Schizosaccharomyces pombe: one gene and its partners. Changing the gene in region 1 together with any one later gene gives a genetic interaction. Each region holds a gene or a part of one and is shown on either strand. Other genes may lie near its edges. The genes, in order: pyp2, med14 and igo1.

Region 1 (8,219 bases):
GCTGAATAGTATCCAACAGGATAGTATTTATCATCATCATGTTTTTGAGACAATACGGCTCCTACAGCGACATCTGAAGCATCAGTTTCTAGTAGAATCTTTTTACTGAAATCAAAGTGTCGTAGCACCGGAGGCGAAACTAAACATTGTTTAATGTTTTCTATCGCTTGGGTTTGTGTTGGTGTCCATTTCCAGCGTACATCCTTTTTCAAAAGATTATTGAGTGGATGTGTTAATTGTGATGTCTTTGGAATGAATTTCCTAAGATAATTGACAGAACCTAGAAATTGTCGTAATTCTTTACGATTCTTAGGTTGCTTCCATTGTAAGACTTTGTCTATATTTTCTTGACAAGGCGTAAATCCTTTTTCCGAAATGTGATACCCTATAAATTTTACTTGTGATTGATGAAATTCACATTTTGCTTGATTGATAATTAAGTTCGCATTTTTTAATTTCTGTAGAACGTCTTTAACATGTTTTACATGTTCAGATTCCGATTTTGAATGAATTAAAATATTATCCATATAACATACTACATGCGATTCTTTGACTTCACCAAGTATTGTATTGATAAAGTATTGAAAATGTGCTGGAGCTATAGATATGCCATAAGGCATTACTAGATATTCAAAAACTCCACGAGGACAGCGAAAAGCAAGTTTATGTTCATCTCCTTTTCTTACTCGTATCAAGTGATAGGCACTTTTGAGGTCAAGTTTAGTAAAAATTGTAGAACCTTGTATTTTAGCAAGTAATTGTTCAATAAGTGGTAACGGATATATATTGGGTTTGACATACTTATTTAAAGGTTTGTAGTCAACCACCATTCTCAAGGTGCCTTCCTTTTTCGGAACGAACATTACTGGACAGGCGTTAATGGCTTTAGATTCTCGTATAATTCCACTTTTTAATCCTTGATTAATTTCATCATTCATAGCTTGCATTTTTCCCGGTGGTAGCGGGTAATTTCTGATAGGTAATCTGTAGTTTTCTTGAGTTAGTTCAACTTCAAATTCTAACCCTTTTATTGGCTTTGGTAGCTTTTCCGTATTGGTTTCTGCAGTAATGTCTTTGAATTCTTTATAGATATCTGGTAACTCAGGTTCCTTGACAATATTTGAAACTTTGTTCATTTGAGAGAGCGTGTGTTTACTGCTAGATATTTCAATGTTATTGTCATATAATGTTGTGAAGGAGATAGCAGCTGGATGCGAAAATTTCTTTACAACCAAGAATTCTGTTTTGATTGATATTCCATTTAGACTTATGTTAAGTTTTATTGTTTTGCGATTAATCTTATTTGGATAAACTCCACCATATATCACACTTTTTGACCAGGGTCTGGTAGGCAGTTTATGTGCTCGAACAGTTTCTTCTGTTATAATATTTGCTTGAGCGCCCGTATCGATTAGACAGGGTATTGAGCACTTGAAGTCTGGAAGTTCAGCTTGTAATACCATTTCGTAACGTTTCCTAGTATGATTTAGGAATTTGTTAGATGAGTATTCTATTCTCGAAACATTTGTCTTCCTCAGGTTTCTGCTATTAGTGGTGTTATTTTTCTTTGAAAGGGACTCTTTTCCTAGATTTTTATTTTGCGGTTGAAAACGCTTGTGAGTTTTACCATACGAGGCTGTTCTTTTGTCCTCTAAAAAGTCATAAATTTCACTGATTTCTGATTTCCAGTAATTTCTTTCCTTTAATTTCCTTAAGGAATATGGCAGCATCCATAATATAAACAAGCGAGTATGGAAATCATCAACATTTGCTTTTGACATGAGTTTCCTTATAAATTGAACTTTGTCCAATTGATTTCTAAAACCTTCAAATGTTTTAGTTAAACGATCACCTTTGTTGGATCCTTGTACTTTCCCTGTTTGTCTGAGTAATTCTTGCCATGTAAGACTTCCATTCTCAGAAAACATGCGTTCAGCGAATTGTTGCTCTAATTCTTCTAGGTGATTCAATGTATACTGTCTTTTAGTATGCTCATTTGGGAATAATGAAGGGTATTCAGTAAAGTGTTGATCAAGTTTTGAAATGTAACTTTCAACATCCTTATTTGGATCGAATTTCCCTATCTCTGGTACATGCTTCGATAATATTTTTGCAAAAAGGTTTATTAAATGTTCGTCTGATGTTTGAATTCCATCCAAATTCTCTGGTCTCCATCGTTTTGCTCTTGCTTTCATATAACGATAATTTGCGTAGGACATTGTATATGTTTCCCTTTGGGAGATTTCAAAAGGGATAACAGTCCTTCCAAAGTTCCTTCTCCTTTGAACCCAGAAGGAGAGAAATATATATATTTATGATATATATTTATTCAATAATTCCTTTTTCCTAAAAGGAGTTAATTGTAGATCACAAGAGTTCAGTTATTGTAAGCTACGCAGTTTGGTATCTGATTTAAGGATACGTAGAACTGCGGTGAGTTTTCCTTGTGATCTATTATATTACAATACACAGGTTGTATAAGTAGCAACTGAGTATAGGTATTGTATTAACTGGGTTATAATGTTACCTATCACTAATATAGCTCATAACTGAACTGAGGAACGAGGTTCAGCAGTAGCTCTATTTATAGTATTCAGATAATATTGATCTTAATAGATTATCATTAAGATCAATCTCCATATCGTATCATACATGGTACGATATATAATTAGAACATGTGACATATAGTGATACTCAACGTAGTGTATTATAGCGTAGTGTAGTATTGCTGACAATAAGTGATATAGACATTCAATCGTTATAGCGTATTATTTTATTTTGTTTCGATTACTCACTGTTACATTATTTACGATTAAGTAATTCACTATTCTGAAGATACGTTCAATTACAGTAAGTTTTACTTGAAACCTGCTATATTGTGGTATAGAGGTAATCTGAGTAACACTGCTATTGATATTCTTGTATATATAAATGATATTGTGACTTATCATTGAAATTGCTTATGTATGAACCTCGTTCCTAAGTTTAGATGAACTCTACTTACGATTTTTAATGTAGAATTTAAATATCAGAAGAATCCTAAATTTTCTCGAATGCTACTTCTTTCATAATTATCAATTAATAAATCTTTAAGTAGTTTCCATCACATGACGCATAATGATTTTTAACGCAGTGCACCTTAACTTAGCTTAGGATTGCTGACATATTTCGAATTTTTTCTTTGGTTCATTTCATCTGTAATTATTTTGTTACCAAGAGAGCATGGGAAGCTTGCTGCAGCTACCAAATAAAAGCCTCTACAGAGCACCGTTGAAAAAGAGCACTTCTTCACCCATGAAGTAGTGAACTATAGAAAATGTCATCTGGCAACACGGTGTTAGTTGTTGACCGTTTTGCAAACAAAGATTAGAGAAAGCCAAGACAAAAAAAAAAGGTTCCCGACATGTAATGTATTGCAGTGTTTACCAATGTCAGTCCCGATCAACCCTTTTCTCGCTTGCCAAAAAAAGAAGAAAGAAAATGTTTCTTTTGCGTAGTGGCAAAACAAAAGAAAATCCACATTCTGTAAGGATTCTTCAAAGGATAACAAGTCCCCACTTTTGATTACCGAATGTGTAAATAAATTTTTTTCGCTCTTCACATGTCTATCTTGTTCAAATTGGCATGAGAAAATGTTAAAAGATGGGGTACAGAAGAGAATCTGGGGAAGCAGGCAGAAGAAGATAATTAAGACATATTATTGATGTGAACAAAACAAGGGGATTATTTGGATTCACCTGACGATTAGAAACACGCAGTACATGAGAGTACGTAAAGTACCACCGAGTCATTCACTTCCCTGCCCCCCTCTCCACTTTTCACAATAGCGCATGCCATAGCGACTCAATTTTCTAGTAACGTACGTATAGTCCACATTAAGACAATCTCCCGGCTTTGCAAAGTCTCTTTAATCCTGCATAGTGCTACACAGTACAACTAGTGTTAATTACGAGTTAGCCTTGGTTCGCTGCGGCCCTTTATTTTGCTGTGGCCCAAGAGAGGGCTTCTTCCATGCATTCGGCTTCACTAGATCCGGTCTTACTGTGCTCTAAGCGTCACTCGTCACATTATGCAATATTTCGTTAAATAGTACACCGTATTGCCATCTTACCTCTCGTTATATCTTAGAATAAACGGTCGCTTAGCAGAAAAGTATGGGGAAACCCCTTTAGGTAGCAGAGAATGACGTGACCGTGAAATTAGGTACATTAGTACCCGAACTTTGTTTTCGAGGAATTAAAGAAAAAAATCATCATCAACTTTATAAACTAAAAGAACTCATTTTTCAGCTTCAAAAAATTCCTTGGTTTAGCTCATTTCAATCTCCTTTTAGCCGTTGTTTTTGTTGCCTAAAATTTTTCCTCGTCTACGATCTTGACACGTCATGACTACATAATATTACATTGTATGTTACCTGGTCTCACTGCCCAGTGCCTGGTGCCAAAACCGAGGATCAGACGTAAATCGATCTACATCCTTCTTACATGTAAAATATATATATATATATATGAGGGCCTGGTGGTGAAATGTAGGAAAAACCAAGTTGTACCAATTTTAAGTGTACGAGATTTAGGGATCGCATGGAAGCCCTATTCTTCGTAGAAGAAAATTTTTGTTACGTGTTAAAGTTACTTCAACTTTACCCATCTTGTGTATATTACGTGAAGATTTCACCTATTTGACTCATTTACTAGTTGTTTATTTATTTATTCATATATATTCACTCATCTATCTTTTTTGCATTTTATATCCCAGCGCCACTTCGCGGACTTCTATTTATTTGACAAAAAGGAGCTTTTCTCTGTTCAACATCAATAGGCAATACAAAGGGAAAATCGAGTTGCAGTTTTTCCTTTTCATCACAAAAAAATTAACCACCATCATCCAAGAATACAAAACTTTTAATTTTGTTTATTTTCTGTTTATTAAAAATTTATTTATTTGCTTGTTTGATTTCGTCTCTTTCAATCAACAAGTTTCCTCATTCATCCTTGTTCACGTCGCCCAGGAGTTTCTTTGTCTTATATTTTTGACTCCTTGATTGAACTCGCAAAAAGTCAATAATTGTTATTTTTATACAGTTTCTTCTCTCTTACGTTTCCATTTTGTTTATATTCTTTTTTTCCGAAAGCACACTGTAAATAACTCAAAAAATTTCTCTTAACCCGCACACCTCTTCACACTCGCCTGCTATCTTTTTTTTCGTTTTAATTTGTGTGCCATTTTAAAAGTTTCCTGTATATATATTTTAGCTTGGCCAATCTTGTCTCTGTCCCTTTTACTTAGGATATAACATCTTCCAAGGTGTTTTCAAAAATTTTGTGCTACTATGCTCCATCTTCTGTCTAAAGACGAATTTAACTCTACTCTTAAGTCTTTTGAAGAACAAACCGAGAGCGTTTCTTGGATTATTGATTTGCGCCTGCACTCCAAATATGCTGTTAGCCATATAAAAAATGCCATCAACGTTTCTCTTCCAACTGCGTTGTTACGTCGTCCGTCTTTTGACATTGGAAAGGTTTTCGCCTGTATAAAATGCAACGTAAAAGTCTCGTTGGATGAAATTAATGCCATATTCCTATACGACTCTAGCATGGCTGGCATGAACCGTATTTATGATTTGGTACAGAAGTTTCGACGTGGTGGATATTCCAAAAAAATTTATTTATTAAGCAATGGATTTGAAGCCTTTGCTTCCTCTCATCCGGACGCCATTGTCTCTACCGAAATGGTCAAGGAGTCGGTCCCATACAAAATTGACATCAATGAGAATTGCAAGCTGGATATCCTTCATTTATCCGATCCATCTGCGGTTTCTACCCCTATTTCACCAGATTATAGCTTTCCATTGAGAGTTCCTATTAACATCCCACCACCTTTATGCACACCTTCGGTAGTCTCCGATACCTTTAGTGAGTTCGCGAGTCATGCGGAATACCCTGGATTTTCAGGTTTAACACCGTTTTCGATTCACTCTCCTACTGCTTCTTCTGTTCGTTCGTGCCAATCTATATATGGTTCACCCCTCTCTCCCCCAAATTCAGCTTTTCAAGCTGAAATGCCATATTTTCCAATCTCTCCCGCCATTTCTTGCGCATCTTCTTGTCCTAGTACGCCTGATGAACAGAAAAACTTTTTTATCGTAGGCAATGCCCCTCAGCAAACTCCTGCCAGGCCATCTCTACGATCGGTGCCTTCTTATCCCTCCTCGAATAATCAGAGACGGCCTTCTGCTTCTCGCGTTCGTAGCTTTAGCAACTATGTTAAATCCAGCAACGTCGTCAATCCAAGTTTGTCTCAAGCTTCCTTGGAAATTATTCCACGGAAGTCAATGAAACGTGATAGCAATGCACAGAATGATGGTACTAGTACGATGACAAGCAAACTTAAACCATCTGTTGGTTTATCAAACACACGAGATGCTCCAAAACCAGGCGGTCTAAGAAGAGCTAACAAACCGTGCTTTAATAAAGAGACCAAGGGAAGCATTTTCTCCAAGGAAAACAAAGGACCCTTTACTTGTAATCCCTGGGGTGCCAAAAAGGTTTCTCCTCCTCCTTGTGAGGTGCTTGCGGATTTAAATACTGCTTCTATTTTTTATAAGTTTAAAAGACTTGAGGAAATGGAAATGACTAGATCCCTAGCGTTTAATGACAGTAAATCTGATTGGTGCTGTTTAGCTTCCAGCCGCTCCACTTCCATTTCAAGAAAAAATCGTTACACAGATATCGTGCCCTACGATAAAACAAGAGTCCGTCTAGCCGTTCCAAAAGGATGTTCTGATTATATTAATGCTTCACATATAGACGTTGGAAATAAAAAATATATTGCCTGCCAGGCCCCTAAGCCGGGAACTCTTTTAGACTTTTGGGAAATGGTTTGGCATAACTCAGGAACAAATGGTGTTATCGTAATGCTCACAAATCTGTATGAGGCGGGAAGTGAGAAATGTTCTCAATATTGGCCAGATAACAAAGATCACGCATTATGCTTGGAAGGCGGATTACGCATATCTGTTCAAAAATATGAAACCTTTGAAGATTTGAAGGTCAACACTCATTTGTTTCGATTGGATAAACCTAATGGTCCTCCAAAGTATATACATCACTTTTGGGTGCACACGTGGTTTGACAAAACCCATCCAGATATTGAAAGCATCACGGGAATCATACGTTGTATTGATAAGGTTCCCAATGATGGACCAATGTTCGTTCACTGTTCAGCAGGCGTAGGACGCACTGGTACTTTTATTGCTGTAGACCAAATACTTCAGGTACCAAAAAACATTTTACCCAAGACGACCAATTTGGAAGATTCAAAAGATTTCATATTCAATTGTGTTAACTCGTTGAGATCACAACGGATGAAAATGGTTCAAAACTTTGAGCAATTCAAATTTCTCTACGACGTCGTGGATTATTTAAATAGCGGCGTTAACCAGGCTTCCAAGCCCTTGATGACTTAACGAAACGACTGTTCTTTAATTTTCTGTGTTTGTACACACTATGTTCTATTTATGTGAGATTGTGTAATTCCTCATTTTTTACATTATCTGACGCGAAGGTTATGTTAAAAATACTTAACCACACTCTCCGGTAATCATGTGTAATTCCTTCCTTATTGTTGTTAAAAATTGATTTTATCTCATGCGTGTAATGAATGTTTATATCTAGTTATTAATGAATCTTGTTTATGTTGGAATGGAATAATTGTTAAAGACTAAATTAGTTATGTGCACGTAGAAACTTCCTTCTTTTTTATTTTAACCTTTCCTATACGATATTTCATTACAAATGTTTGTATAGATTTTAAAGTACTATTAAGTATCGTACATCTGGCACATAGCAGTATTATTGAATGGAAATAGATGAATTAGAATATTTGTAAAGAGCACAGTAAGTAGTAGCAATAATCAAAAAATTATCGTAGCCGAGACGCAATTGTTTTAAGGCATATATATAATGACTCGTTTATTTCGCCGTATTTGCTGCCTGTTGATTTGCATTGTTACCAGACATAATTATCAGAAACAATATCGGGATGAGATATAAACCATATTTTTGGAAAAATGTCTTTTCCTCAGGTTCGGACTCTAATTCATCTTCGTCCACATTTGGAGATTCTTCGGTTTTAGAACCCTGTTTATTTCCTTGTTTTTCCTTCTGGGGTTTAGATGGACGTGATCCCTTTTTTCTGACAGCAGTAGTTAAAATTGGAAT
Region 2 (8,948 bases), on another chromosome or scaffold:
AAAAGAACGAATGGGTTTGGCAGCTTTGTCTAAAAGAACACCAGGGGGGTCTAATGCAACAAAACAACGAATGGTAGAGACATAGAACAAAAGAATATAGGAGCTATCACTGCTAGCGGTCAAAATACTACTTGTACAATCTTTCACAAAAGTTTCGGTTAAATATTGACGTTGCTGTTTTTGACGGGCAACTAAACGCAAGTCTTCAATTGCGCCTAGTGAATTGGGGTAATGAAGAACAATATCAAGAATGTTGTCTGATCGCAAATGAGCAAGTATTTGAGAAACAAGATGGTCTAACTGAACCAAAACCGCTGGATTCGACAATGAAAATACATGTTCAACAAGAACCCCAAATTCGGTGCGAATCCACTCCAATGCTTCATGGTAAACACTCTGCTCCCAAGACATCGCATACCGTGTTGTTAAAAGAGAGCCGACATGCAACTGCAATACATATACAAACCTTTCTTTTAACACAGAAGACAGCCCCAGCTGCTTAAATTTTTCACACAATTGAAAAAATTTCTCCATATCCAAACAAGGATTCGTTTTACTCTCTAACCATACTTTTAAAACTTGATCCAGATATTCTGTTAGAACGCTTTCAATCACCGAAATGGGCAAGTACCTTCTACAAAGGCAACGGAAGCATGTAAGGATTCGGTCGAGTTCAGGACTTAAAATAGGACTTTCTAAGACACTCTGTTCGTAAACAAGCCAAAAGTCACTTAGTTGGTCCGTTAAGTCGTGTAGACTGCATATGTTTTTTAAATCAATCTTTAAGAGATTTTGGCGAATAGTGGTATAGAAATGAATTCTCAACTTGTCAATAAAATCCAATACTGGTGTTCCCTGTGTGACTGAGCTCAATTGATCGATCAACAACGAACGGCCAGTAAAGGTGGACAGATCAGTATCATTCATTATGCTTTTAATTTTTTCTGATAAATACTTTAATCTTAAAATAAATGAATTCAAGCAACTACAAATAATCGATACCAAATCGACAAGTCCTTTCTACGTAGTCCGATAACACAAAGTAATGTTTTCAAAAGAAAAAGGAATTAAAAATTGAAGATTTCAAGACAAATGATTGAAGGAACACTCACTTTTCCTACTAGTATATCTTCTGGTGGTATTGTTTACATTTGGTAGAAGAAGACCTTGCAATTGTTAGTGTGAATGCGATGAATAGCAAACTGCCTTCCACATCACAACCACAACAAGAAACTTAAAAGGAATTCAATTTTTGAAAAGACGGTATCTAAAGAAAATCATATACCAATGAATAACATAACGAAATTAATGAAACAAAAGAATATTTTGACACCTCCTTTGCCTCTGTACCGAAGGGTGTTGAGAGCGCATCGCTATCACCTAGGAGCAGAAGAACGAGCTTTAGGAGATGAATATGTAAAGGCGGAATTTCGAAGACATCGGAACGTAACAAATCCTTTGCATTTAGTAGGATTTTTAAGCTCGTGGGAGAGGTATGCGGATGCACTAGAAAACGAGAGCTGGAAACAGGAAAAATACAGTAATACGGATCTACTAGAATCTTTAAATGACCAGCAAATCGGACAGGTAAGAAAACTTATATTAGATTGAGGTTTATTATTAAAAGAAGAGAACTTTTACCAGTGCTCTTGAACTTATTGCTTCTTTTTTTGGACCTATAGTTTCTAACTATTATTGGCAGTTGTACGAGCTCTCAAAAGCTCTTCAGGAACAGAAAAAGTCTGAGTAGTGGTCGCGGAATCTGATTCTTTATCAGACATCTCTTTGTTATTAGAAGGATTTTGATTGTTTGAGTTGTCGTCATTTTTATTGGCACTTTGAGACGACATCTGCAAATCGTTATTAACTCGAGCATGTGCAAGCTCAACCAAAAACCTATAAAGTTGTTAATGAATGATCTGGACTACTCGTAAAAAAGTGAACGAGATGTTCAACTTCCTCATGGATAAACGTACCATGTTAGCGACAGCCACAAACAGATTGCCAGGAAAAATAAGATGAGACAATGAATACTTTTTGTACCTATATAAAGTCCAAGAAAAACAGCGACAAGTGCACCACAGGCTACGTGTGCTGACTTAGCCAATACAGGTGTGACACCTGGTGTGAAAATTGATTCCCATAGTTCCACCCAATACGACATGATCTTTTTCTTATTGGAATACTACTTGGAAATGTAGTAGCTATGAATTGACGTTGTTAAACCACCGTTTGTGTTCTAGCGATAAAATCTGGCCTTTATAGTGTGCGTGTGCTATTGAATTAATTTAGCAACGAGACCGATGTTGGAGTTCATTAAAAGTTAAAATGGATTTCAAGAAATCCATATCTTATACTACTATTAAAACCGAAGGTTATGCTTCCATTTGTCCAAATTTATTGTTAATAGAGCTTTGAATCATTCAAATGGAATAGTGCTCTACTTTTGTTTTGCTATATTAAAAATTTTTTGTCAGCTTCTTGTGGTCGTGGAGAAAATAATTAAATGATCAAAACAAATGTTATTTTTCGGCTTAGCTCTTCTAAATTACTGTTTTATTATCATTTTAATGAGACACGCTGAAGCTCTGATTAAAATTGATAGCAAAGTTTGAACAGCTTTAATGATGATTTTCGTTCAGTTTAAAGAAGGGGCTTTTTAACTACTATAGAATTACGAGAATCTTTTTGAACGGTTCCATCTCATTTGTTATTCTTCATTATCCATAGTTTCAAACTATGTTTTATGCGATTATCGCATAACAGGGCATGTTTATACTAGCTCAAATTTATTCAAAATCTCCCATTTTAGTAATATCATTGATCAATTATTATTTAATTCCATTTAAAATTGCTTATTTATTGATTATTCCAATTTTTTGAATGAATAAACCTAAGGCGTTTTAACAATCTCAGTGAATGGCGTAACGAAGGTTATCGAAGAGTTTCACGGGAGCTGTGTGAAGTTGCTTTTGGCACGCTACTCGAAGATTTCTGTAAAAGAGATATAAAGAATCCTTTTTAAGGGTTTTTAAAAGAACAAAACTTATGTTTATTACGAAATTTAGTTTTGGTAAAGGATCGGCTAATTAAAGGCGCTATTACACGAAATTCCTAACTCCTCCAATTGAGGATGGAACCGCCTGCGATTCCACACATTACAGAAGGATTTTATCCTCTTCCTGAGATAGTAGAAACTTTTAGTCATCATGTGTTACAAGAATTGGTGTCTTTAGCCGAAGTTCTACCCTCTATGTCAAATGTCGAGAAAAAGAAAAAGATCTTAGATTGGTTATTACGTTCGCGCGCTTTCACTATGCGTTTGCTAGTTTTAGCGCGTTGGGTACATCTATCTCCTTCAGTTCATCGATGCATAGATGTTGTAGCCTTTCTTCAAGGTCAAAAATTTTGCTTCCAGAATTTAGTTCATGTGTTACAAGATATTCGTTACCAGTTGTCATTTGCACGTCTACGCAACTCAGATTTAGTTACTGCATTAGATATTTTGTCAACTGGCACGAGTCTTCGTCTAGCAAATGCTCCCACTTCAAAATTATACATGCTATCTGAATCACCGCTAAGTACCAAACAAATACTTCAAACCCTTCATGCTCTTAACATGCTTATTAGAATTCGTCTTAGTCTTTATGAAATTATTCCGACACCATTTCAACATTTCACAATTGCTAATGGTCGTTGCACATTTACTGTTCCCAATGAGTTTTCAGTGTCTTTGACAACCAATTCCCAAGATCCTAAATCTACCGGTATTTCATTCCAGTGGATTGTTGTTGACTTTCAATTTCATCTTCCTGATTTTTCTTCTACTCCCGCAAAATATCGGGTTTTTATAGAATTGCATCTCAATGAAGAAATCGCTGCTGCATTCGTTCTACAAAAGCCCATCCTACCTTTAATATATAATATCCTTCATAAATTTTGTTTATATCAGCGCCTTAATTTATTGTCACAACAAACTTTTCAACTATCCAGAGAAAGTTGGTTAGGGCATTTGCGCGGTGTCTATGATGAAAAGCCCCCACGGCTACGTCTATACTATTGGCCCCAATTAAATGTGAAAAAAGAAGGAAAACCCGGAAAAATTGGTCATTATATTCATATATTTGTAAATACTCAACCCATATCCGCCTTTGAGCGTACCCTTAGCTCTAAGAGATCCAGTTGTGAATATGATCATTTTTTATTACTCGTTGAATGGCACCATGATGGCATTGTTGAACATGTACCATTAGATGATCATATGGATGCTCAGCATCTACTATTATTAATTACCCAAAAACACGCTCAACTTATTCTGGAACAAATCCGTAAGGAGCTTCACCCAAATATATTTAGTGAACATGTTGGTGGTGGTCTAAAAATTCATGTCTTTGATAATGAAATAATTGTCAAGGTGAACAGCGTTACCGGCAGGCTCGTGCTGTCGAGTTCGGCTTCACCTTTATCACCTCCCAGGCATCTTCGTGCTGCTGAAAAAAATATTGCTTTGAATACGCAACCTCCCGCCCAAATCTTGAATCGGTTGTATTTCTTTTGTATACAAACGCAGCTATTAGAAGTTGCCCAGTGTGCTGAGTTGCATGCAGTTCAAGGTTACTATTCTTTCCCTTATCTTACATTCTCCAAAGGTAAATGGAGAAAAGATGGCGATTCCCTATGGGTACTCGCGTACAACGTTGAATCCAACTCTTGGTCTGTTAGATTGTTGAACGCTGCGGGTCAAACTCTCTACACCCAAGATGTTCATACTACAAAAGGTACTTTAAGTATTGAAAGTTTTAGCCGTCTTTCGTACCTATTGGAAGTCCAAATACTTTTATTCAATGTTCAAACTGCTTGCCAAGCTCGTGGTATGCCTTTTGAATATTTGCCTATTCCACCAAAAGCCCTAATTGAAGATGACTTTACTACATACGTCCAAACAGGATGCTTATGTATTATGATGCCATCGTCTAATGAAGATATGCTTCCTGTGGTTTTCGTTCGCGCGCATGACGGGCAGTTAATTTTTGACTCCCGAATAAAAGGAAAATTGCCGTATCAGTCTGAGACTGAAACTGAAAAGAACTGCTACATAGATTGGAGAACCGGTCGTATTACCATTCGTGTGCAAAATTTTTCATCTTTCGAAAAAACATGGATTGGATTACTTAAACTTGTTGCTTTGTCTAAAACATCTGCATTCAATGTAGATTGTATCACGTTAAAGCATGTGGACTTTACATATCTCGATGATGAGAAATTTAGGGCTACAATTCATGACGACAACACTTTTACCCTTCATTTTTTTAATCGACATAGTCCGTTTCATCTAATTTCTCAGTTTTTGCAGGATACATTTTCTGATGGGCCCTCAGCTATTCAACCATTACGCGTAATTATGGATAGAACGAGAGGTGTTTTAGTAGCTCAAGAATTGGGCTACGTTGTTTTGGCTCGATCTCTGCGTCAGTACAGAATTATCCTATCCAAAAATCATGGCATTCAAGTTCTTTTAAATCGCCATGGATGTATACTCCAAGATTTATCCTACTTATCTGCCGATTCCCGATACTTGGAAGGAACTCAGACTTTGACGTCTCAATGGGAACCTTGTTCATGGCTTAATACTGTTTGGGAAGGTGACTTGGGTGATGATGAGCTTAATGGTCAGATTGAGGCCGCTCCCGAGATGCACTTAATAAAGATGAACAAAACGGCTGATTTAACAGCCATTCTAAAAAGAATTTTAGCGATCTCTCGAAAAAAATGAACTCATATTAAGCTTTTAATCCTCACCCCCTCCACCGTCCATTCCTTTCGGTGGCAGTGATTAGTGATTGTATATATAAATACGGCAAAAAATGTCTGGTTAATGAGGTAAATGAAAATCGTTTTCTAAAGTATACAAGTGAATGTTACATTGATGATACATGTGATTTATATAATCCAACGTGTAAATTAGAGATCGTCGAATTAACGCTTAATCATTTATGAATAAGCAAAAAACTTCCGTAGGTAAAATGAATTTCTATTATAATCGCCATAATCCCAAGTTTATTCAAAGCTGTGTTCTTTTAAGCTAATAAATTTTATATTGAATCTTTAAGTACCGCTGGCATCAACATACGTTGATCACCACTAGCAGTTGCAGTTCTTAAAGCTTCTCGTAAAGCCATAGTAGCGTAAGCAGAAGATGGAAGTACAAATTTTAACGTAACAGCGGTGTGCTTACCAACCTCAGAACTCACTGAAATAGAACGGTTCTCCAATCTATCCTTATCCGTCAAAATCAGTTGTTGTTCCATATTGTCATACTTTATGAAATTAAACTCCATATTTTCAGGACGCACCAAAAGTTTTCGATAATCACCAGGTAATGAAAGTTCTCTGTCTTTGCGAGACATATTTAATGGATCAAGTGATGCCTCATTCATGACAGACTTGTATATATCGAAAGTTTCATTTTTTGGGTATATTACATTACGACCAGGTAAAGGAAGTACTATGTCGTAAATACTAAAGTTATTGACTTCGTCCTCTTCAATCGGACGAGCTGATAATTTTGAGCTCACAGGTAAATCTTCTAGAAGATCAGGTGCCTCTGGGTCAACAATAGGGCTTTTTTGACTTAAACCATTAGACTCAGTAGAGTAAACCAAATCTCCCACAACAGGACGATCGCCCAAATTCTTTATCCGCCAAGAAGCAACTCTGTTCCAAACGTAAGATTGATATGCATGAGGGTAAATACTTCTCAAGTGACGGGGAATTCTCTGGAACGCTCCTAAATAATCAGTTTGATTACCAGATCGAGACCATGTTTCCAAAATGCTGGATTCAGCTATCATCCTTCGAGGAAGAATGCGAAGAGAAGCTTCAGCATCATGAGTGGAATGCCATAAATCAATTGCTTCTTTGACAGAACCGGTATGCTCGGGCCTTGGTGATAAAATTAGGTCGACAGCGCCTTTCCAGTCTGATTGTAAAAGACGAACTCCAATGGTATGTGTCCCGACAGAACTGGTACCGAATCTTTGTAAACCAAAATAGTTAATAAACCCGTGCTCTTTTAAAGAATTCAATGCTTCAACAACCTTCTCTTTAGGCGTAATAACATTACGCACTACAATGTGAAATTCGTTTCCCTTCAAGTCTCCCAATCTTAAATTTGAATTTTTATAAGAATAATTTCCCAAAAGAAAACCATATGTGGAATTTTTAAGAGAACCAGAGTTTAATTGTGCGAGTCGAGATGCTCTAACATGATGAATAGCTACGCGTTGACAGGTTACGCCTCTTCTATCTTTGGTTCCAGCAATTGATAAAGTCCTAGTGGGGACTTTGAGGAGGCGGGCAATTTTACCAAGACAGTCCATAGAATCTCTGTTCTCCTTATACAAATGGAAATGGCAATATTCACCACCCAAAGCCTTCCAACTTAATCGGGGATCTCTTCGTGATCTAGGCTGGTTTTTTCTGGTGGTCTTTGACACTGTAAAAGTTCCATTCCCTTTTGTAGAAGACTCGAGTCCAGAAAAGTTGTTTCGTATGAATTGATGTAAGATCGTTCGCTGACCTTTATCCATAGGAGGAGTATTTTCGGGAAGAATTAATGAGATGGGATCAGTTATTTCACCAACTGATAGCTTATGAAGAGATTGAATAAATTCATTACCAATTCCCTTAGGTATGATACTTTGGAGGTCATTCGGCAATATAGGCAGTGTAGCAGGTTCTTGTTCCTTAAAAGAAGGAGCTTTCTGGTCATTACTTATATCTTGATTAGAAGAATCTTTTGCGTCTTCAGTTTCCTTGTCTCCGGTTGCCTTCGAAAGGATAGGATCGTGAGCTTCCATATCAGTTAAGTGAACTATATTTCCATCTGTATCAACTTCAAAAACAGCAAAATCCGTGAATCTTGCTTTAATAATTCCATCGATTGAAGGAAGATTTGGATTCAAAAACGCATCAATTCCTACATCTGACTCGGTCATATAAAACTTCTGACCGCTCAAATCTGAAGGAGCGTTGGCTTCATCTTCTAATCCATTTCTTTCCAAATTCCTTGAAGACTCAGATTGGTCAATCCGAATCCTTTTCCTAGGGACATCCACATGGTTTTCTTGGGACATTGCTAAAGCGAATATACAAATTTCAAAACCACTTGAATGGGATTAGCTACCGCGTTAGTATTCATAAAGCCATGTTAAGCACACTTTCTGCATCTAGTTATAAGGTGGATCGACAATGCTCAATAGTACATTATTACGAGGTGCGTATGACATTCATTAAAATTATACCACTCTCGACCATAATATATAATTTAGTATACCGAAACGAAGGATCTCGGAAAGAACTAAGAAAAGGAAAACAGACGAGGGCTACTTGAAGAAAGACGCCAAATATCAATGCCCGAGAAGGATTGGATTGGGGAATTTGGTCCCTCGAAATTCAAGAGCCCAATTGATAAATTAAATCAGCTTCTTCCTGAGAGCAATGACCCTTCTATATTGTACGAAACGTCCCAGCACCTTTTGTCTGAGTTTGATAAAACACTTAATGACTCTCTGAGAGTTTTGAACCAACAAATCAATCAAGTTTCAGAGGTCCTTCCCCGATTACCTACTATGATATCTGCGCTAGATCGTGAATCAAAACGCCTTTTTGAATCTTGCGAAAAAATGGATCCTGAACCTAGTGCTCTGATGCCCCTTCAAGAATTGGAGAAAATCCGCTCAAATATTCAACTCACAATTTCACAAATTGACAATCTTACGCCTTAAATTATTTACTTGCTGTATCCTTGTGCGCTTTGGTAAGCGTGACTACATTGAGTATATGTTTCTGGTTGTTTGGTTCTTCGAAAAACTAACATAAAAAGTTAGAATATTTCATGTAAAACAAATCTTTTTCTATGATTGTATATATGCTTGTTTTCTTCCCGT
Region 3 (6,985 bases), 4.0 Mb from region 1:
AACTTGGTAGAAGGCTTGGAAGAGCTGTACCCAAAAATATTGACCCCTTTTCCAAAGTCTGATTGCTCAACCTTTCAAAAAGTCATGCAAGACGTCGCTAGGTAAATCGTATGCTCAGCTTTATTTCTCAATCAGGGAATCACTTTGTCGTCTTCAGCCTTTTGGTATTGTAAGTATTAAATGCTTCCATCCCACTATCTTATGTAAAATAAATTTTTAATGCATTCACAGCATCTACTTTTTTTTAATGCTCTTCGATTCTTACACGTTACAGTGAAAGCCAACTTTTCTTTACAATTAGTTTTTCTACAAACCCTCTCCATTCTCTTTCTTTAAGAAAGTTTCATAGTCAATAAATAATTTATTACATCTAGTCAAAACTACTGTTTTTGTGTAAATAAATTGAAATGCCACGTACATTAACACCATCTAAAAGCCACAGAGAACCATAACGAACAAGGGAAAGTGTTTAATCACTATATGGAATGTCGGTGCCACCCTATTCCGAGAGTGTGATAATAACATCTTTCCATACCAATTTTGTATCACGCGACGATACTCCTTCATATCGTTTTATTAGTAACCGTTTTTTGGTAAGCAAAGTGGTTGAGCATTTGCGCTACTGAGTTTCACAAAACCACATTCGGTATATTAGTGAGGAAGATTTCTGGAACTTCGCCAGCAGTATTTGTTGTGGAGTCTACGAATGAATTGGAAGCTAAGTTTAAAAAAAGGGGATTATCGATGAATTTTTTTACCTCAGCCGTTGGTTCGAAAGTGTTTAAGCGTAACAACTTTAAATATGTCGCTATAGCCGCTTCCTCCATTGGATTAGCTGCTTACCATATTCGTAAGGATGCGATTGCCTTGGACATACCTAATAGCACTTATCAGCATGTTTCTAAAAATCGGGTTCCTCCCACGGATGGGGATGGTATCACAAAACGCCTGAAAGAGTTTGAGCGAACGGTAACCGTCAACAAAGATGGCATCTTTCGCTACGACTTCAATCAGGTTGCCAGCAATGATCCTTGCGAAGACGATCATGTAGAGGTAATAGATCGAAACATCGATGAAGGGAATTGGTATTTTTGGGGTATTTTTGACGGACATTCCGGTTGGAATACTTCTCTTTTCTTACGCCAGCACCTAGTTCCAGCAGTCGTTAGGGAATTGCAAAAGTGTACTGCATCTTACTATCATCAAAATGCTTGTCCTTCATCTCTTGCGCTCGATAAGTCGATCAGTGAGGCATTTGCCAAAGTTGACCATCAAATTGTACACGAGCATGTCTCCCATGTATTCAACAATCCAGAGTCACTCCAAGTAGCCGCTAGTCTATTGTTACCCGCTCTATCAGGATCGTGCGCTCTTCTTACTTCGTATTCAGCAAAATCTAAGAGTCTTCAGGTTGCCTGTACTGGTGATTCGCGGGCTGTTCTTGGAGAATGTACGCCCGATGGCTCTTGGGAAGCTATCCCACTTAGTCGCGATCAAACTGGAATGAATCCTGATGAAGCATCTCGCTTGGAAGTTGAGCATCCAGGCGAAGAAGTCCTTCGTAATAACAGGATTCTTGGACGTCTTATGCCTTCAAGAGCCTTTGGCGACGCTCGTTACAAATGGTCCCAGGAAATTAGCGAGAGACTACACAGAGAATATTTTTCCGCTTCACCCATCCCTGTTAAAACTCCTCCATATGTTACTGCGGTCCCTGAAATTGAAAGTATCACCGTGAATCCAAAGAAGCATCGCTTTCTAATTATGGCTTCCGATGGCCTTTGGGACACTATGTCCAGTGAACAAGCAGTACAATTGGTCGGAGAATGGGCAGATACAGTTTTGGGTAAAACTACCAACGAAAAGAACACAACTCAGGATGACAAACAATCATGGTCGCTGTTTAAGAAAACATCAAAGGTCATTGATGATAATGCTGCCACGCACCTTATTCGACATTCTTTGGGTGGAAGCGACCAAAGAATATCTGCTTTATTAACCTTGACTTATCCAATTTCAAGAAGGTATCGTGACGACATAACTGTTACGGTGATCTTTTTCGACGAAAAAACTTTGTAGATACATACGATAAGGAATGCTATTTCACGCATAACTACTCTTATTCATGAGTAAAAAAAGCAAGAAAAGAAGGAATGCTTAACGACTAATTGAATAATCTGCCAAACACAAAAAAATTGGCACTACGAGAAAATATATATTAACACTTCATTTTTTTATTCCTATCACATTGACCAAGCTCAGTAAGATAAGCCACGCTAAAAAAAAAAGAAAAACAAAAGAAATACAGCAAATTTTTTTCGAAAGTAAAACCGTTGGAGACACCGTATCCACGTGGCGACGAATGGCAACAATTAAATTTTAGAATATGCTCATTTTGCTCTATAGAATGATAAAACGTTACATTGTAAATAAATGTAAAAAGAAAAATAAAGTAAGTAAAAACACTTGAAACTCACAAAAAGACGAGACGACAATAGTGCAATACGCAAGAGCGATGACGAGAACAATCATCAAACATTGGAATTAAACAATGCCATATAGCCAAAATCGTGACAAGTGTTCTGACAACAAAAAAACAAGTGAACCATATAAGAAATTACAAGATAGAACAACAGTTGATAAAGGAAAATGAAAAAAAGATTTAAAGTAAGAAACGAAGAAAAGGAATGCGCGATGCATTGAATAAAACAGAAGTGTTGTCCTCCATCAACTACGTAGAAAAGGGTAAGGAAGAGAAAAGGGAAGTATTAGAGTAGTAAGCGTTTTCATTTCGTAGACTTTTATCGTTATATATTTCTCATAACTCTTGACAGCTGAACAAACGCGTTCGTTCCATTTTGCCAGACCACAATTTTGCACACAGCATTTCCGCACACGACAAGCAATACCAAATTTTAAGAGCCAAGCCAAATTAAACCTCCAACCTTGTCGCAAAAATAGCAACGTGTATGACCTCAATTTTCATTGCTTTCCAAGTCGTGTCGCGTGACAGATTCCCTTCTGCTACTGGCACCACTAGGCGAGGACTCTGAGGGTCGTTTCGTGTGAAGAGACGGCTCTTTATTAGGAGACCCAGCACTGACAACACGGTGAGGAATTGTGTCAGGAGAGGGAATCTCCTTACCAATACAAGTGATACCTGAATCGGAGGCCTTTCCAGCTTTGTTTAAGGCATAGTCGCCTGAATCAAAGTATTTTCTACCTTGCTAAAAAGGGGTAGAGTTAGAATAAATATGACAATTTATCCAAAACACATCCATTCCTCCATACCTGTAATTTTTGAACTAATAGATCCTTTCGCTGAGGAAGTCGTCCATACAAACGGAAAAGCTTCTGTTCTTCTGGACTTAATTTCTATTTCAGTTAATAATCAATTTCAGCTGTACAATCTTAACTTACTGCAACGTCTACTTTCTGCTCTGAATTGCTAGAAGACATGGCGATTATGGTTGTTGACAACATCCATTTGCGCGTTCTTACCATATACCACACGGCCACTTGTCTACCGAAGCCTAAGATACCGCACTGTTAACGTATTAGGTATCATACGTAATTTTGTCGATACGTAAACACTCTAAAATTACTGGATTCCAACGAAATAGCGGCTGAATGAGCTAATCTACACTAAATGATCATTCATTGATTAAGTGGCATTTCTCATGAATGATGAAAAAGTAAAGTGGATAAGGTCGGTTTTATGCCAAATGTCATTTGTTTACTATTTACAAACAACTTGCTGCCTTTGCTATTGTGAGTGGAATCCTTGACGAAGACTTTGCATACTCGCTTGATTAACATGCTTTCTACCGACTCACTTGTTAACCCTACTTTCTTGCCAATAACCTATTCTTTCTAACCTTATCGGGCATTTTATCGCTGCGTCCAAAACTAATAAAAAAAAAATAAAATAATAAAATAATTATTATGAGCAAGGCCGATTTTTAACATGACGACAAGTTCCTTCCTATTGTTAGTCTAGGCAACCTATTTTTGGTGGCTGTAAAAAGTGTTGAATGTCCGACTCAACAGTCCCTTCCCAAAGTGTACAGATAGAAAGAAGAGCAGCAAGGGTAATAATGGGAGATGGGGTTTCTGCACAAATAGTTGAATTTCCATTTACCTAACTTGGAGATCAGAATAAGGACTAGAGAATGAAGTTGCTTCAAGGAGTCGGTTTATCTTGCTAATAGAAAAAGTACTTAGTTGCGAAAAGATTGCATCATGGCGATAACATCTCAAAAATCCGACATTTTCATTCTAATCGTGATACAGGTAGTAGTGATTTGAGGCAACTTTTAGTTGTGAATTGCTCATCCGTCTGAAGTGAAATTAGGAAGTCTTCTTGGCTTACGATTGTCATGTTAGCCTTAGTATTCGCAAAATTACTGTTACATGTGGAAATGACTAAATTTCTCATAGAATTACATATGCGTTCGCACTTTTAGCTAAGCGAGTGGCAGTCAATGAATGATATACATTTGGCATGTTAGCGGATGTGTCGCCTTCATGTTTGCATACTCAAATGTACAATAACGTATGTGCATACGGGAACAATAATTTGGTTATACGTGCATGATTGTTCTTATAGTTAGTTAGTTAGTTGAAGGAGAAACGTTTGGCGATGGACTTGGCTACAAAAAGTTATTGTACCGACCTGTCCAGCATTCATCATCAGTCCTTTGAGTGTACGATATTTGCGCATGGGCTTACTGATAGAGAATACTACCTACAAGTAGGTATTATATCTTTCATTAAAGACATAGTAAATATCTGTCATTTAAAACAGATATTTTGTATATCCTCTAGTACGTATTGTTACTTTACTGTAATTTGCAGTCGAAAAAATTAAGGAAATTGAACAACACAGTTCTAATGTATAAAAGTAAATATGGTGGAAAGTTTAAAGAATATTAAGGTTCGCTTAGTTTTCTGCTCAGCAGGCAACCGCAAAGCGAAAATAGGCATTGTTTTTATTCTTATACTTACAAAAGGAACGGAAACTGTAAAGAATACCGAGTAAGGTCAAGAATTTTTTGGTTTCTGTTTTTGTTTTCTTCGCTTTTACGTGATTTTAATTTAAACTTTTGTATATCATTTATAATTCAGTCATGTCATTCCCCAACCAAATACATAAGGTCAGGATGTGAGTGTAGTTCGGTAATAATGTGGGTAAAAAATCGTTTCGTTCCCGTTGTCACAAAACGATAATTCGGTCCACCGATTCACCATAGCTGGTCAACATAAATCATCTGCTTCGTTAGATTTTTTAGTAAAAGCAAACTCAATTCCTTTCGCATATAACTTTAGGCTCACCCATCAAGCTTGATGTTGGGTTCTTTTTTGTGAAAGATGTTTTCGGATTGGCGAATTCAGCCAACTCGAGATTTTCTTCGGAATTCTATCAATCCTCATCTCATTCAGCAGGTATAATCAGTTGAATCGCTATATCTTCTCCATTTTCATCTGAAGGTGTATCCAGACAATTCAATGTTAGTCTATTGGTTAAGCAGTTATCTTTTGACGAGCAAAAATTGCTTGATTTTGCTGAACCTGCTTCAGAAAAATTTGGTAAATTTGGCAATGAATGAAGACCCGTTGGATTATTGAACAATTTTTTCATGTTACACTCCATCTCGGCGTTGAATTGGCGACATTTGCAGAGATCTAGCAACAATTGGTTATAAAAGTCACATTCCTTTTTGGATGAAGGCGGATTCTTAAAGATTGCACCATCACTATTGTACAAAAGCAACGTCGACTCTGGTAGTTTACCGAGAAATATATTTTTTTTCATATTCAAATAGAGATGGATTGGGAAGGCATAACCGTTTGAGCCAATACAGTGAATCATTGCAATCCAACCGATGTCTGCTTCAGAATTAGCACACTGAAGAATTTTGTCAAATCCATCAATTTCATAAGGTAGATTATTTTCCAATAGCGGCTTACGAAGCTGTACGTATGACTGAAAATTCGACGAACTTACTACAATGCAGTTACATGTCGAGCCAAGAGCAAAGATATCCCTCGGATTTACCAAATACATGCGAATATTTCCAATTTTCTTCTGTACAGCTAACTTTTGGACAGTACTGTATGCTTCTCCTGAATTGTTTACATAATGCTCAACTGCTGCCCACAAGGCTTCCTGAAGACTTTTCGGGTAATATTGATAGAGCATGACATGATGAATCAAAACAGTTAATGGAAATTCGCCCGAACGTAGATAGTCGCACAAATATTTAAATAGAGCTTGATGATTTCGAAGTAGATGCGAAACTGCTGTCTGTATACAAGAATGATTATCGATCAAGTGATAAACCTGATCAGGAAGGCAAAACCCGCTCTCATCCATTTCATAACCAATTTTCAAATAGACACCACTAAACGTATGGAAAACATAAGATAACCAACCATCATAAAACAAATTTGGAATGTCAAAGCGATCTGGCAGCTCGAATTCTTTTAACTTGAGAATTTTACATGTACACGGTATCCACGAAATTGAGTCTAAAAGTAGAAAATGCGTATTGTGAGGATATTCAATATCTGCATATGTAATCGCAGCCATTGGATTTTCACATTGGCATTTCATACAAGCCAATTGGCGCTTATTTCGACGCATGCATAAAATTAGAAATTTCGATATTTTCAGAGCGAATTTGTGAAGTATTGTTGAATGAAACTTGACAACATTTGCATTATAGTTCATGGAAAATAATAACTATGTTTGCATAACACTAACAAGTATCAGAAATTATAGTTATAGGGAAACCTCAACAGAAATTAAGCACTTTACAATATGCCAAAAGATCCAGCTTGAACCAGCTGGCAAAAAAAGTAAAAATGCTGCGTTGTAGGATTAAATCAAATTAGTAATGAGAGAGGTAAATCATAAAATCCCATCGTCAAGAGATTACGAGCAATCTAATTTTGAAGGAAAAAAGCCCGCAAACAATAAATG

What was found.
Region 2: of pyp2 (region 1) and med14, extra expression of one rescues a mutant of the other (dosage rescue), as found in Schizosaccharomyces pombe (one study listed by BioGRID).
Region 3: of pyp2 (region 1) and igo1, changing one enhances a phenotype caused by changing the other (phenotypic enhancement), as found in Schizosaccharomyces pombe (one study listed by BioGRID).

Annotation. Positions count from the first base shown.
Region 1 is NC_003424.3:5,197,494-5,205,712, forward strand, and holds pyp2 (protein tyrosine phosphatase Pyp2), read left to right. Parts: upstream 1-5,162; 5' UTR 5,163-5,329; coding exon 5,330-7,465; 3' UTR 7,466-7,709; downstream 7,710-8,219. Other genes in the region: Tf2-8 (retrotransposable element/transposon Tf2-type), read right to left, coding at 1-2,219; protein Emc10, read right to left, coding at 7,971-8,219. UniProt on the Schizosaccharomyces pombe protein: Plays a role in inhibiting the onset of mitosis. Dephosphorylates sty1/spc1 and wis1/spc2/sty2.
Region 2 is NC_003423.3:1,993,114-2,002,061, reverse strand, and holds med14 (mediator complex subunit Med14), read left to right. Parts: upstream 1-2,968; 5' UTR 2,969-3,133; coding exon 3,134-5,773; 3' UTR 5,774-6,056; downstream 6,057-8,948. Other genes in the region: anaphase-promoting complex cullin family subunit Apc2, read right to left, coding at 1-927; sdh7 (ACN9 family protein), read left to right, coding at 1,288-1,587, 1,703-1,750; V-ATPase assembly factor Pkr1, read right to left, coding at 1,686-1,896, 1,977-2,164; pus7 (pseudouridine synthase), read right to left, coding at 6,093-8,135; SPOM_SPBC1A4.11C (uncharacterized protein), read left to right, coding at 8,412-8,786. UniProt on the Schizosaccharomyces pombe protein: Component of the Mediator complex, a coactivator involved in the regulated transcription of nearly all RNA polymerase II-dependent genes.
Region 3 is NC_003424.3:1,235,415-1,242,399, reverse strand, and holds igo1 (serine/threonine protein phosphatase inhibitor Igo1), read right to left. Parts: upstream 3,505-6,985; coding exon 3,421-3,504; intron 3,376-3,420; coding exon 3,292-3,375; exon of another isoform or gene 3,228-3,291; coding exon 2,976-3,227; 3' UTR 2,215-2,975; downstream 1-2,214. Other genes in the region: N-acetylglucosaminyldiphosphodolichol N-acetylglucosaminyltransferase Alg13, read left to right, coding at 1-105; SPOM_SPAC10F6.17C (bifunctional phosphoprotein phospatase/[pyruvate dehydrogenase (acetyl-transferring)]-phosphatase), read left to right, coding at 745-2,079; SPOM_SPAC10F6.15 (uncharacterized protein), read right to left, coding at 5,435-6,733. UniProt on the Schizosaccharomyces pombe protein: Plays an essential role in initiation of the G0 program by preventing the degradation of specific nutrient-regulated mRNAs via the 5'-3' mRNA decay pathway.